Linked DNA regions of Anolis sagrei. The protein of the gene in region 1 interacts with the protein of each later gene in a pairwise test. Links are inferred from orthologs where the notes say so. Each region holds a gene or a part of one and is shown in the gene's direction. Other genes may lie near its edges.

Region 1 (7,662 bases):
TGGGAACAAATTTGTAAGTATTATCTATTCTGTTCCAGTATATTCAGTGTAGGAAAGACAATGCAGACACAGAGCCATGACTAGCCATTTTCCCATGGGCCTAAAAATTAGCTTTGGAAATTGTTTTTTGTCTCTTCTTTTAAAAATAGCAGACAGAACATATATTTCAACATAGTAGCACAGTTATAATCTGACAAGTGCTGTGTATTTATGTGCCTTCAGATGGCGACCCTATCCATTTCATAATTTTTCCTAGGCTAGGAATACTCAAAGGCAGTTTTGCCAGTTGCTTCCTCTGAAACATAGCCTAGAGCTCCTGGTATTCCTTGAGTCTCCATTCTAAGTACTATCCAGGGCTAACCCTGCTTAGCTTCTGAGATCAGATAGGGTCTAAAGCCTGTAGGAAATTTTGCCTACCATTTATTTATTTCAATTAAAATATTTTATCCCATTCTTTTATCATGCAATCCCACTTGTTAAAATTTCACAAAAATAGTGAAATTCTATTTCATGGTCACAGCAAAGAGAAACTTCCCCCTAAATGAAACACAGCATTGCTGAAGCATGCTGAGGATTTTTATTTATTTATTTATTTACTTTGCTTCTATACCGCTGTTCTCAGCCGGGGGCGACTCACAGCGGTGTACAACATAGGAAAAAACAAATACAAGACACAGTATAAAACCAATTCACAATCCATTTTTGGAATAATCTCTATTGAACCAAAAGTCAGTTTTATTTTTTCCTGGCTCTGCTGTCCTAACAGAATTAAAAAACAGGATTTTTCCCCCCAACTCTCACTGGAATTAAAAGACTGTGAATGGCTAAATAAACCTTTCATTCACACCTGGCTGACTAAATTGAATCCAGTCACATTGCTCATGTGGGGAGGTAGTCACCCCTCCACATTCAAGTGAATGCCACCTTTCTATGCCCTGTTAATTACATGACATCATAATCATTTTATTTATGGGTGCCAGCACAGTGATAATACAGAGCATCTTCTCATACGTGCAATACAATGATGCATAAAAATGTGTTATAAATTTAGAAAGCTCTTAATTGCACAATTCTATTTCCAGCTGTTGGGATCTGCTGCATGAATTTTAATTAATGACTGAATTAATGCTGCAGATCTTAGCAGCTGGAAACAATATTATTTAACTAGGCTTTAAAATGAGCAAATTTTATATCCCAGTACAGCACTTAGATTAATATTCAAGTTGTCTTTGTTCTGTTGAAGAGACTGGAATTACACAAGGGGTTGTGGGAGGCCAATGCTAAATGTGAGGTAACTGTCATTTGTTTCAGACAATCTAATGTGAAAGAGAATTGGCTCTTCCTGTTATAACACTGGCTGCCTGTGAGGTTGGGACCCACAGTTTTAAGAAGAGATCTAGAGGACCTCAAGACCCCCAACTCTAAAGCGCTGGGCAGCTAGTTCATTTTGAGCACTTTCTTTACCATGTTCTTTAGGGCTGACTAGTTGCTCAGCCTTTTGCTGACTCCACAAGGTCATTCCACAGTCTTGGGGCGGCCAATTAAAAGATCCTCTGAGTGACAGTCACTAGTCAGGTTCTGGCTGGCTGGAGTAGATGCCCCCCCCCCCCCCAGGACCTCAGTGTTTGGGGAAGATTATATGGGAGAAGGTGATCCTGTAGTTAATTTGAACTATGTAGACTGTTGCACTCCAGAACAGGAAAAGCCCTCTGACTTTAAAACACACCACACAATGAGTGAAAAAACAAATCCTTTTTATTGAAGCTTAGTAAAATAGCCCGTAGAAAGAAATGCTTGTAAGAAAATAGGAAAGTAAAAAGTAAAAGGTCAGTAAAATGCAGTAACTCAAAGCAATGTCCACAAAAGATATAAAAGCAATCTAAGGCAGTATTTATCCAGATAGGAATCAAACAAGATGCAAAGACCATCCTGGCGTTGCTAATCAACACCAAAAGGCTAGAAGTATCCATAGGAACAAGACCCCTAAAACAGGATTTCCATGGCACATGAACTTAATCTAACAGGTTTTCCCTTGAAGCAAACCTTATATCCCCAAATCCAGAAACTGGTTTCATTTCCCCCCACCTTTGGCTCTTATCTGACGAAGCCTTTCGGAACGGTGTAAACCTTGAGTTTGTTGTCGATCCAGGCTGAACTCCAGCCGCCTGTTTTTCAACTCCCTTTCTGGCTGCTCATTAAAATTTCCAGGTGTCAGATTGTTTTCCAAACCCAAATCTTGAGAGCTCACAGAGAGAGGGAGTAAACCATCATCCCTATGCCCAGCAGGAATATTCTCATGAGAAAGTGCCCTTTGCGCTGGGGCCTCTCTGTCATTGTCTGCATGAAAATCATTGACCAAACCATCTCCATCTTGCATCTCAGCACCATCATTTTCCTCATCATATCTCACAGCACTGCCCACATCATTTCCCACTTCAAAAGCATCATCAGAAGCATCATGATCCTGGAACACAAACACAGGTTGATTCCCAACACAGACAAGGTTGTAGTCCAGGAGTGGGGATAGGGGTCCCCCCCCCCATTTTTTTCAGGTTAACCCCCCCCCCCCGGTTCACTTATGAATTTAACTGGTTAACCAAATCCCTATGCGAAGTCTATGAGAAGCAAAAATTAAACAAGTATCTCCAGAACCGCAAGCACTATCTCAAGCAAATGTTGACAATTTATTCACACTATCATTAGTTGTAGCAATAGCTGATATAGTGGATACAACCAAGTTGGCCCATCCATAACTGGCAGGCAAAGGCTAAGGCATTGAGACGGAGGGGGGGGGGAGGGGATTTGAAGGCTCTCATGAAGGAGACCAGACTTGGTGGGTGTAGTTGACAGGGGCGGAGCTGCAGGCTATTTAAGGCTGCTTTTCCCCTGCTGTGCCCTTTGCTTCAGTGTGAGCTGGAGGCAGGTTCCTGATGGGGAATTAGGCCTTCCCCTCCTTGCTCCCCTGCTCCCCTTTTCCAGATAGTAGGGTTCCCATTGCTATGCCTATATATAGGCTGTTTTCAACTCTTAAACGTTTGAAAACATACATGAGCACAATGGGGCAAGAAAGTTAAACTGGACTTGCACTCTTGAGTGTCCACTGAAGTTTTCAGTGGAGTCTGATTTCTGTCAAGGTGTACTGAAACATTTTTCAAATGTTTCCAACAGACGTTTTGGTATTCTTTTGTAAGTATAAATTACAAATTAACAGTCATTTTCAGTTATTTTAAGACTTTAAACTTTGTAACTAAACTAGAAAATTGATTTAATTAATCCTATATAAAATATAGAATGAACCATAGTATTTAAATTATTTTGTGTTATGGAACTACTCTTCACAATTTGCTAAAAAAAAAGTTTCACCCCACCCCCAATTTTTTTTTCTGGCTATGGCCATGCATGTAGGGTTTTAAGGGTCAAAGCCAACACTTTCTACTTCTCCCAGAAACTAATTGACAGCCAGTGGAATGACTTTAGTATAGGTATAGTATGCTCACTCCTGGATGTTCTTGTAACCAATCTAGTTGCTGTGTTCTGAACTAATCGGGAGTTTCCGAACTTGGTACAAAGGTAGCCCAATGTAAAGTGCATTGCAGAAGTCCAACTTTGAGGTTACCAGCATGTGCATTACCACCTTCAGGTCACCCAAATCTAGGAAGGGGTGCAGCTGGCAGTAAGCACTCCTGACGGTCACATCTCCCTGGGCTGAGATTTGGGTCCAGGAGCACTCCAAGCTGCAAACACAATCTTTCGGGGGGAGTGTAACTTCATCCAGGTCTGGTTGACACACCTCCATCCTCAAGTTAGGACCCTTGGTGGCAGGTACCGCTGTCTTGTTTGGAGTCAGTTTCAATTTATTTTTCCTCCTCCAGCCCATTACCTCCTCCAGGCATTCATTCAGAGGAGACAGGAGTCTTTGCTAGAGCTACAGTGCTTCTACACTGTGGAAATAAAGAACTTTGACACTGGTTTAATTGCTATATGGCTCAGTCATGTAATCATGGCAGTTGCAGTTTTACAAGGTCTGCCAAATAGTGCTGGTGCTTCCCTAAACTACAACTGCCATAATTCCATAGACATTCAACCATGGCAATTAAAGTGGTGTCAATCTGCATTCTTCCTACAGTGTAGGCTGCCCGGAGTGAGCGAACTACACATATTATATGGAAGTGAAGAGAACCCATCCGAACTGATTCCATCTACGTCTTCCTCCTCTGATCTATGGCCTTGGAGGACTAAGGACGGCGCCACGCCCACTCCGGCAAAGGCGGCCAATCGGGATCCGCCGAGGGCGTGGCTTCCCTCCTGTGAGTCAGCAGAAGCGCCCCTCCCCTTTGCAGCGCGTTGCCTGGGTCAACGTTGTGACGTCACTGAGCACCAGTTTCAAAAGGCTGTCGCCCATCATTGGCTTTACTGCGCAGCCGTTATTAGTGTTTCAAAGCAAACTGAGGACCACTAGGCTCGCGCGGGGGCGCGCACGCGCCCGTCCGCTCTTCCCAACATCCGCAAGGCTCTTAACGATGGGAAAAGACGGGCGCCCATTGGCAGCCGGCTCATACTCCTCTTGGCGCATGCGCGGGGCCGATTAGCGGTTCCTGAGGCTGAGGGGGCGGGGGTGGGAGCGTCTTCTGCGCATGGGCAGTGGCGGATAGCGGAGAGCCGGGGGCGTGGCCAGGCGGCGGCGAAGGGAGCGCGGTCAGCTGACTTGGGCTCGCGGCACGGGCTCCGGCGGAAGGAGGGCGCGAGGGGACGCGCGAGGGACCCCGCGGCCTGAGGGAGTTGCCATGGCGACCACCGTGAGCACTCAGCGCGGCCCGGTGAGTCCCGGCGTCTGCGAGAGGAAGAAGGCTCCTGGGCGGAGGCTGGCGTGGGCTGACGAGGAGACACCCCGGCCTTTGGAATGGAGGAGGCCTTCTTGGGTCCTGTGGACCGAGAGGGTCCCTTTCTCTGCGTTCCAGGCAGAGAGGGAGGGCTGCGAGGGTTGCGCTCTCCCGGGTGACTCCTCGCGCTTTGGCAGTGTCCTCGCCTTCAGACACGCCAGATGAGGCGAGGGGCACGGGGACTCTTGCAGGCCCACGGAAAATACAACGCCGTGTTGAAACTATGGCTGGATCTACACTGCCAGATAACGCCTTTTGAACTCCATTTGTCAGTGTAGGCCAGGCATGGGACAACTTGGGCCCTCCAGATGTTTGGGACTTCAACTCCCACCATTCCTCACAGCCTCAGCTCTAAGGACCCGAGACTGTTAGGAATGGTGAGAGTTGAAGTCCAAAACCCTGGAGGGCCCAAGTTTGCCAATGCCTGGTGTAAACCCAGCCTGAGACGCAGCTTTCCCACATTTCTCCCCTTCTGCTACTGGCTATGTGCTGCCAGCATCCCACATCCGAAATGAACTGCAGAAATTATACCAAAGAATGCTGCTTCTGAAAAACTGGGCGTCCTGACCTCAAATGGGTTCCCTTACTTTACCTCAGTGCTGCGGATCAGGAAAAATATGACACCAGTAAAAGGTTTCTGAAGGCCACCCATTTATGGAAGTCGGTTGGCAACAGCACCCGGTGTTAGGACTTCAGAAAAGGCTTCAGGTATCTATATAAATAAAAACATAATGTTCGTTTGTGGTATTAACATAACTCAAAAACCACTGGACGAATTGACACCAAATTTGGGCACAATACATGTATCAGGCCAATGAGTGGCCATCACTCATAAAACACTGAAAAACACAGCAGAAGAGACATAAAAAGCAAAACAAAACAAATTTATATATATTACAAAGCATGCGCAAACCCATATATACACGCACATACACATGCAAACACTTATACACAATTATATATACACACAAAACATATACACGGACTGAGCCACAGCAACCCGTGGCAGGGGAGGGCTAGTGCTTCATAAACAGGAAAAATCGGCCTGTTTAGCAAGCCTTGCAAATGTTGATTTACTACACTGGCCAACACACATTTTGTTCCCCATATATTAGCCCTGTTTCTGGGTATATTTGACCTGCTGATTCAAAAAATGGCACCAGTTTCCACCTATCAGCTTTAGTTTTTCAGATACAGAACATATGCGTCTGCTAGTTGTTACCTGCTCATCCACAGAAAACCATGGTAACTAACTAAGAAACTAGAGCTGAAGTAGTGTATCCAGTGCAAGTTTCAGAATCAGCATCCTGAATAATCCCAGGAACAGACCTAAAAGCTAAGACACCATATTTTATTTTATTTATTTGATTGGGCTGTGTTATCAGTAAACAAATGTTTGATTTTTTTAATACGAATTTTATATACCTATATACCTGGGATCATGGAAAATTTCTCAGACAGAATAGGAATGGAAAAGGTTTAAGGAAAACCTACTTTTGAGAAAGACTTCGATTTATAGTAGAGAGGTGCATATTTAGGCCAGCAAGTTGGGAAGTCATGTGCTAAAGATCATTGTACTATGATGCAGGCCTATGGTTCAGAGCAGTTCAGCCTGGAAAGGCTCAGCTGACTTACATAGTGGTGTATAAATCTAAACATTTTAGTCAAAATATCAACCGAAAAATATGGCTTCACTTATCCACAGGCCAGTGTTGAGCACACTGTGACCTAACTCTTACAATAAATGGAACCATTCCCTTCTCTGAGTAGAGTTACAAAAAGCAAGAGCTTAGTCTATCCTGGGAGAACCTAAAAGAAGCACTGATTGCTTCCACTCTATCAGAATTCATTATTTGGGCTCCCAAATCTTCCCTCAATTTATACATGAGGTTTGATTATACAGTAAATGAGTATACACAGTAGACTGCAGAACTATGACCTTGACATGTGGCAGTTTGGGAATAAAAATGTTTTAGATTTCAGATTATTATTTTTGGGAAGGATTTTGAAATATTGAGATACTTGGAGATGGTATCACTGTTTTAACACTACATTCATTTTTGTTTGATATACACCTTAGACTCATAGACTGAATGTAATTTTATACAATATTGCTAATAATGTTCTGCATGGAACCAAGTTTGTGTACAGTACACCATGAATTGTGATATCACTATCTCAGCCACAATTTTAGATTTTGGAGTTTTTCAGAATTTTGGATAAGAGATGTTCAACCTGTCGGAAACCCCTGGAAGAGCCCTCCATTGTCTGTGAATAGGATTTTTCTGAGTACTGAAAAAAACGATTTTTGCTTTATTATTTTAAAAGGGCCAAGAGAGATTTAGCACAACATACCACTTAGCAGAGAGAGTTGTCTTGTGGAAAGCTTCACAGTCTTGTTTTATCTTCTTATGTATGTAGGGCCACAAATACCCTGAAGAAAACAGTTCCCATCTGATCTTGGAAGCTATGCAAGGTCATCCCCTGGTTAGTACTTGGGTAGGAGCCTGCCAACAAATACCAGGTGTTGTAGACTACATTTCAGAAAAAGGAACTGCTCTTGTGTATGCCTTGACAAAGTAAATCCTGTGAAATTTATGAGGTTGCCATTATGTCAGCAGGAAACTTGAAGTCACATATGCACACATACATTCCCTCTGAGGAAAGGTGTCATTCTTCTCTTCCCAGAGACATATGTGTCAGAAGGGCATCAACTTCCAATAGTCTAGGCTGACCTCTTCCTTTCTGATATATTCCAAAGTCTTTGGAACATAAATGCCAG
Region 2 (7,313 bases), on another chromosome or scaffold:
CCCTGAGAATATCAGTCTACACATCAAAGGTGGGGGCAGGACAGATGGAGACAGGGAGAGAGTCAGTCTACCAACTTAGACCCTATCTACTTTTGATCCATTTCCTATCATGAGCACTGCTTTCTTATGTAGAGCATAATTGAATTCCAACATATGGAGAGGTGACTGTATATGCACAGCTTCTAGAATCCCCCATGCTGACTGGGGAATCCTGAGAGCTGCAGTTTAGGAAAGTAAGTTTTTCAAACTCATTTCAGAACTCATGTAAGGAGTTCTCAGGTTGACTTACATTTCTGGTAAATTCTACACCATAAGTGATTCCAAGTTATAAGCAATTAAATGTAATGAGCCTATGTACTTTAATTTTCAAAGTTCTTTACTTTAGAAAAACCATTTCACTTTACCACATAAATGACCAATTATGAAAGAGGGCACACCCTGCACAGTATCCCCTAATACACACTTTAAAATGTTTTATTTTACCCTAAAATGTCGTCTAAAGGACATGAGGACATTCTCGCCATGTTTTGAAGCCCAGGTGAGTCCTGTTTTAACAATGAGAAGTCAGTGGAAGCCCATTCCTATTCAAAAAAGCCCTCTCTCATTCCTCAGACATTGTGGAAATGGCTTCCACGCTCCCTGGATGGCATTTGGGGACACAAATTGACCCCTGAGGCCCAAAAAATGTTTGGACTTCTTATACAATTTTGTGAATGAAGCAAAGTGATTGCCCACTTTAGAGGAATTTTATTTTGTAGAAACACTCTTCCTTGTTCACAAAATTATATAAAACTCCAAAGTTTGTGGTCGTCTACTTGCAATCCTCTTATGTCTTCTCACATCTCATTTATTTTTGTTTCCGCACACAATGTGTAAAGGAGGAAATGGCAAAAGGGCTGTAACATGTCTTTCATTTGGTAGTGAAGGGAGGAAGACTTTCACCTGGAAGCGCCTTTCCCAGTTGATATTTTATTTATCCCACAGCAGTCTGTCATGCCATGGAACATTTCCATCTCGCATCCCACTGTCTGAAGCTGTATTCCCCTCTTCAACCTGCAGCACCAGAAATGCCAACTGTTTGCTAGAGATTTGCCCTCAACAATGTCCAAGACCTACATGTGAAATCTGCAAAAAAGATGGATAACAAAGCCTTCAGTGACTCTTGACTTATGGTTGTCCAAGGATGCCATCTGGCTTGAAACTAAGCAGCCAGCCTGGCTTCTTAGCAAAGCTTTGGTGTGCCAAAATCATCAGGTGCAGTGCTTTCACCCTGGAATGGAGTTAAATAATTACATCTAAAAATAAAGAAGTCTTAGTGTTTGAATCCAACCCAAGTTCCCAACAAGGGCTTCCTTTTCAGCCACGGCCATTACGTTAGTAGGACAAGTGACAGCAGATTAATCAATGTCATGCACTTTGAAGGATATAAGTTGAATCTCCAGGGGTGCATCTACAGTGCAAAATTAATGTAGTTTGAAACCACTTTGTCCATGCTCAGTGCTATGTAATAATGGAAGCTGTAGTTCATTGAGGCAGCAACACTCTTTGGCAGAGAAGGCAAAAGGATTCCAAAGCATTGAGGGATGGGAGTTCAAGAGGTGTCTACAGTGTACATGCTCCCTGGGATTTCCACTTTAAAGGACCAGGGAAGTGGGTTTCATTGCATGAAATCCTAGAAAGCCTCTGCCAAGGAGAGAAGACAATATTATGCAAAATGGAAAAAGAGTACATTGGTATAAAAATAATAGAAATAATGTATCTTGATAACTGGAACCAATGAGGTTCAGTGATTCAAGTATTGGACTAAACCATGGAAGCACACTGAGTGACCTTGGGCAAGTCACACTGTCTCAGACGAAGACAAATGGTAAACAATCCTCTGAGAAAATGTTGCTGAAAAAATCCTATGCATAGTTAGGTACAGTTACTGTACAGATGTTAGGAAATATTGCTCAAAAATGCATGTGTTTATGTGTATCATTACATGCGTATAGATTTTTTTAATTGCAGTTCTTTTTCATAAATATGCAAATAAAAATTAAAAATATTTAAATAAAAATATTGTGCTGGGTTCACTTTATGTTCACACTAAGTCAAAAAGGATTTGATGAAAGACAATAATTATGTATGCTGATGTATCTAATGTCTATCTAAGGCTGCTTTATCTAGGCATGTTGATGTGATAACATAATAAAAAGTGAAAGAAACTCACAATATTTTGCGTTCTTTCCTCCACCATACTGAGGCAGCAGACAAGAGTTTACGGGTAATTATAGTGAGTTACAGGTTTCTGGAGAAGGACTGCTGGTGAGCCCATGAGAAACAGTGAGAAGGAAGGCTGTCATTGCTACTGCAAAGCATGTGCCACCTGGTTAATGGTAGGACTGGCCCTTTTCACAGTCTTGTTTTGCTTCCAGAAGTCTAGCATTGTCCACATATGGTATCCACAAGGTTTAGTTCCAGGATCCCCTGTAAATACAAAAAGTGATGGCTGCTCAAGTTCCATTATATGCAATGGCCTTTATATAACATGGCAAAATCAAGGTTTGCTTATGGAATTTTCTTTAATATTTTCAAGCTGTAAATCCATGGATGCAGAAACTCACATTTAAAAGAAAAGATGGGGGAATGGAACTGAGACATTCAGAGGTCAAGTTCTCCACCTGTCCACAAAGGTCCCTTTTACACTGCCATATAATTCAGATTATCAAAGCGGACATTCCACATTATCTGCTTTGAACTGGATTATATGAGTCTACGCTGTCATATAATCCAGTTCAAAGCAGATAATCTGGATTTAATTTGACAGTGGAGAAGGTGCAAGAGTCCTGAACCGTCCTATGATTTGAAAATATGAGGGCAGAATTAAAAAGCATTGCCATGTTAATCTGGAATATCCATACATCTAAGAAAGTAGCCTCGACTATCCACATTTATGCAATCCATTTTTTTCTCAGTGAGTCTCTATATTCCAAATACATGTGTTTGTGTATGAATAGCATCATACATCACTCTTACCCACAAAACAAAGTTAAAGTAGTGTCTGTGCAACTGCAGAAGGGTTGCAAATTTCAAAGCTTTGGACATGTTGGTTGTCATTCAAAGTCATAAAGAATGTTACGGGTGAATCTGCACCATAACATTGATGCAGTTTGTCACCACTCTAAATGTCAGTGTATTACAAACTTTTCAACATCTTCCAAGGAGTTCTGGTGCCTCACCAAGTGACAATGCTGGTTGCTTCTGCTTCACCACACTAAAACAGTGGATGTGGCTCTTAATGAGACATGACGCATTATCACGGGGTGTCTGCGCCTTACACCACTGGAGAAATGACACTGTCTAGCCGGTATTGCACCACCTGACATCCGCTGGGAAGTGGCAGCCAATAGTGAAAGGACCAAGGCAGAGACATCTCCAGCTCATCCCCTGTTTGGGTATCAGCCAACACGTCAATGACCTAAATCCAGACATCGTTTTCTAAGATCTACAGAGACATTCGCTGGAACACCTCAGCAAGTGAGAATCTAAAAGTGGCAGGCTCAAACCCAGAACCTCAACCAATGGCTGATACCAAATGAGAAACTCCCCCCTGGGCACACAGAGGACTGGGCGACTTGGAAGGCGCTGAACAGACTGCGCTCTGGTACCACGAGATGCAGAGCCAACCTTAAGAAATGGGGCTACAAAGTGGAATCCTTGACATGCGATTGTGGAGAGGAGCAAACCACTGACCACCTGCTGCAATGCAACCTGAGCCCAGTCACATGCACAATGGAGGACCCTCTTGCAGCAACACCGGAGGCACTCCAAGTGGCCAGATACTGGTCAAAGGACATTTAATCAACTACCAAACTCACACATTTTGTATTTTCTCTGTTTGTTTGCTTTGTTCTGTTAGAAATGTAATATAATTGACTGGCTGCCCTGACACGAGAAATACTGTTTACCCACAAGCAGAAAGAAATTACATATATTAGAAATCAAAACTTTCTCATTATTTTCCAGATCAGCAGACTGGGCCACAGCAACGCGTGGCAGGGGAAGGCTAGCAAATAAATAAATAAACCGTGAGAGAGAAGGCTGCCAATGCTATTGCAAAGCACGTGCCACATGGCTAATGGTAGGGCTGGCCCTTTTCACATGGAGTTTGCTGAAGCACTAGCACGCCTTGGCAGAGAAGGCTACAGATCTTGTAAAACTACAACTCCCGGGATTCCCATAGCATTGAGCCCCAGCAGTTCAACTTTATTCATTGCACAGTGTAGATGCATCCTGAGCCGTGTTTGGCTGGGGGAGAAAGAGGAAGTCCCTCCTCTGCGTGGTCAGGGCTGCTGCGCCCCTTCTCTCTCCTCCTCTCCCTCTTTCTCTCTCTGTGTGTTTCTCTCTTGCGTTTCCCGGGGAGGATCCTCGGCCAGGAGCCCCACCTGGAGCTTCCCTCTGGCTCCTCCTCCTTGGAGCGGAGACGGAGCCTGGCTCCCAAACGGCAGGAGCCCGAGTCCAAGGAAGCAGCAGCAGGAGCAGGAGCAGGAGCAGCAGCGACTCCCGGGCCAAGTCCCTCTCTTTCTTTTGGGAGACCAGAACATGGCTTTCGGGAAGAGCCAGAAGGACCCCTTTGGTACCGCCGTGGGGCACCTGATCGGTAAGGATAAGCCCTCCTCTCTTCTTGCCAACGGAAGGGCATCTACACTGTAGAGTTAATACAGTTTGATTCCACTTGAACTGCTATGGAAGCATGAGGGTTGGGGAGAGGGATCCTTGGTAGGGAAAGCTAAGACTTTGTGAAACGACACCTCCCACTCTTCCATAGAATCCAGCCATGGCAAGGTAAAGTGGGGTCCAAGCCGTATTCATTGTACAGTGGAGATCAGGCATTGGCAAACTTCAGCCCTCCAGGTGTTTTGGACTTCAACTCCCACAATTCCTAACACCCAAGTTGGCCCATGCCTGGCATAGATGGACTTCGGGGTTGGGTTTGAATTGGAAAGGAAGCGAAAAGAACTTCAGTTGTCTCGACTCCAGGTTCAGGCTGTCCAGGAATGAAGCTTCTTTCCTTATGATATTTATATTATACTAGCCGTCGCCTGCCACACATTGCTGTGGCTCAGTCTGCTGATCTGGAAAATAAAGTAATGAGAAAGTGGGTTGTTGTAGGTTTTTTTGGGCTATATGGCCATGGTCTAGAGGCATTATCTCCTGATGTTTCGCCTGCATCTATGGCAAGCATCCTCAGAGGTAGTGAGGTCTGTTGGAACTAGTAAAACAGTTCCAACAGACCTCACTACCTCTGAGGATGCTTGCCATAGATGCAGGCGAAACGTCAGGAGAGAATGCCTCTAAAACATGGCCATACAGCCTGAAGAAACCTACAACAACCCAGTGATTCCGGCCATGAAAGCTTTTGACAATTTAATGAGAAAGTGTTGTTTCTAATATATGTAATTTCTTTATGCTTGTGGGTAAACAGTATTACCTCTGAGGATGCTTGCCATAGATGCAGGTGAAACATCAGGAGAGAATGCCTCTAGAACATGGCCTTATAGCCCGAAAAAATCTACAGCAACCCAGTATTTGATTACGTTTTCTTGCCCTGGTGAAGTGAGTTGGACTTGATGGCCTTAAGTATTTTGTATTGGTCATAGAGGTTCTTTGTGGGAAGTTTGCCCCAATTCTATTCTTCGTGGGGTTCAGAATGCTCTTTGATTGTAGGTGAACTATAAATCCCAGCAACTACAACTCCCAAATGACAAAATCAATTTTTTTAAATGAAGGGCATACATTGGGTTGCTAGGTGTCTTGTGTCCAAATTTGGCAACAATTCATTCAGTGGTTTTTGAGTTCCGTTAATCCCACGAACGAACATTACATTTTTATTTATATAGACTAGCTTGGGGACCAGCTATGCCTGGGTTATTTGAGTGTTGGGCCTGTGTACCAAGTTTGGCCCAGATCCATCATTGGTAGGGTTCACAATGCTTTCTGGATGCGAGGTGAACTACTGCTGATCGAATCCGGGGAGTTTGAATCTGGGGAGTGGGTGAGTTTCCACCTGTCAGCTCCAGCTTCTGCGGGGACATGAGAGCAGCCTCCCATAAAATGGTAAAACATCTGGGCATCCCCTGGGCAACATCCTTGCAGACAGCCAATTCTCTCACACCAGAAGCAACTTGCAGTTTCTCAATTCACTCCTGACACAAAAAACCCCAAACACATCAACAAAAGAATAAATAATAGAGGGGGGAAGGGATTAAAAGCTTGCTTGAAATCTCCAAGTACTTGCTCCCTTTAAGTTAAGACTTTCTCCTGGCCATTGGGTTGGACCTATGGTGTATCTAGTACATTGTAGAATCCATGCAGTTTGACACCAATTATTTATTTATTTATTTACTATACTTGTATACTGCTTTTCTCAGCCTATCGACGACTCAAGGCAGTTCTGCCAAAGAGCGCTGGTCCCTTACCAAACTACAACTACCGTGGAATCCTGGTAGTTGTAATTTTGTAAGGGACCAGCACTCTTTGACAGAGAAGGCAAAAGACCTTATAAAACTACAGCTTCCATGATTCCACAGCACTGGCTGCTTCTACATTGTAGAAATCATGGAGTTTGATGTCGCTTTAACTATCATGGCTCAGTGCTATGGACGCATGGCAGAGAAGGCTAAAGACCTTGTCAAACTACAACTCCCATGATTCCATAACATTGAACTGTGTTGGTTAAAGTAGTGTCTAACTGCATTGATTCTACTGTGTAGCTGTAGCCCTAGAATTATAGAGTTGGAAGAGGTCACAAGGGCCATCAATCAGGCAAGAAAACACAACCAAAGCCCTCCCAACAGATGGCCATCCAGCCACAGCTAGGAGACTTTACCAAGGCAGTATATTTCACTGCCAAACAACTCTTACCATCGTGAAGTTCTTCATAATGTTTAGGTGGAATTTCTTTTCTTATTTTTTTAATCTATTGTTCTTTATGACATCATTTTAAATGTCATCATATTTAAACAGGGTTATCACATCGACTCTTACCTTTCTCTTTACATCAGCTCCCAACATCCACAACCAGAATGCTGTCCCTTGGCTGGGGATGGTTATTGGCTTGTTAGTTGCTTTCGTCTGGAGTGGCCCAAAGGGCACACTGGTCTTATTGTTAGGATAAGAAAGAGAGTGACTGGATTAAGGTGATTTGTATGTGCTCACAAGCCACAGCTTGTATCGTTTGAGCCATCATTCAGTTGAAAGAGAAAACTGCATTAATCTGTTTCAGTGTCAAAACATAGGAGTGGAAAGAGTCTTGTGGTGGTTGTTGCTGT

What was found.
Region 2: the proteins of TOLLIP (region 1) and TOM1L1 interact in binary tests that used the Homo sapiens proteins (3 or more experiments, as listed by UniProt). The link is inferred for Anolis sagrei from reciprocal best matches to the Homo sapiens genes TOLLIP and TOM1L1.

The regions. Positions count from the first base shown.
Region 1 is NC_090021.1:243,081,967-243,089,628, reverse strand, and holds the start of TOLLIP (toll-interacting protein), read left to right. Parts: upstream 1-4,656; 5' UTR 4,657-4,784; coding exon 4,785-4,817; intron 4,818-7,662. UniProt on the Homo sapiens protein: Component of the signaling pathway of IL-1 and Toll-like receptors. Inhibits cell activation by microbial products. Recruits IRAK1 to the IL-1 receptor complex. Inhibits IRAK1 phosphorylation and kinase activity.
Region 2 is NC_090022.1:142,895,281-142,902,593, forward strand, and holds the start of TOM1L1 (TOM1-like protein 1), read left to right. Parts: upstream 1-4,297; 5' UTR 4,298-4,584; coding exon 4,585-4,642; intron 4,643-7,313. UniProt on the Homo sapiens protein: Probable adapter protein involved in signaling pathways. Interacts with the SH2 and SH3 domains of various signaling proteins when it is phosphorylated. May promote FYN activation, possibly by disrupting intramolecular SH3-dependent interactions.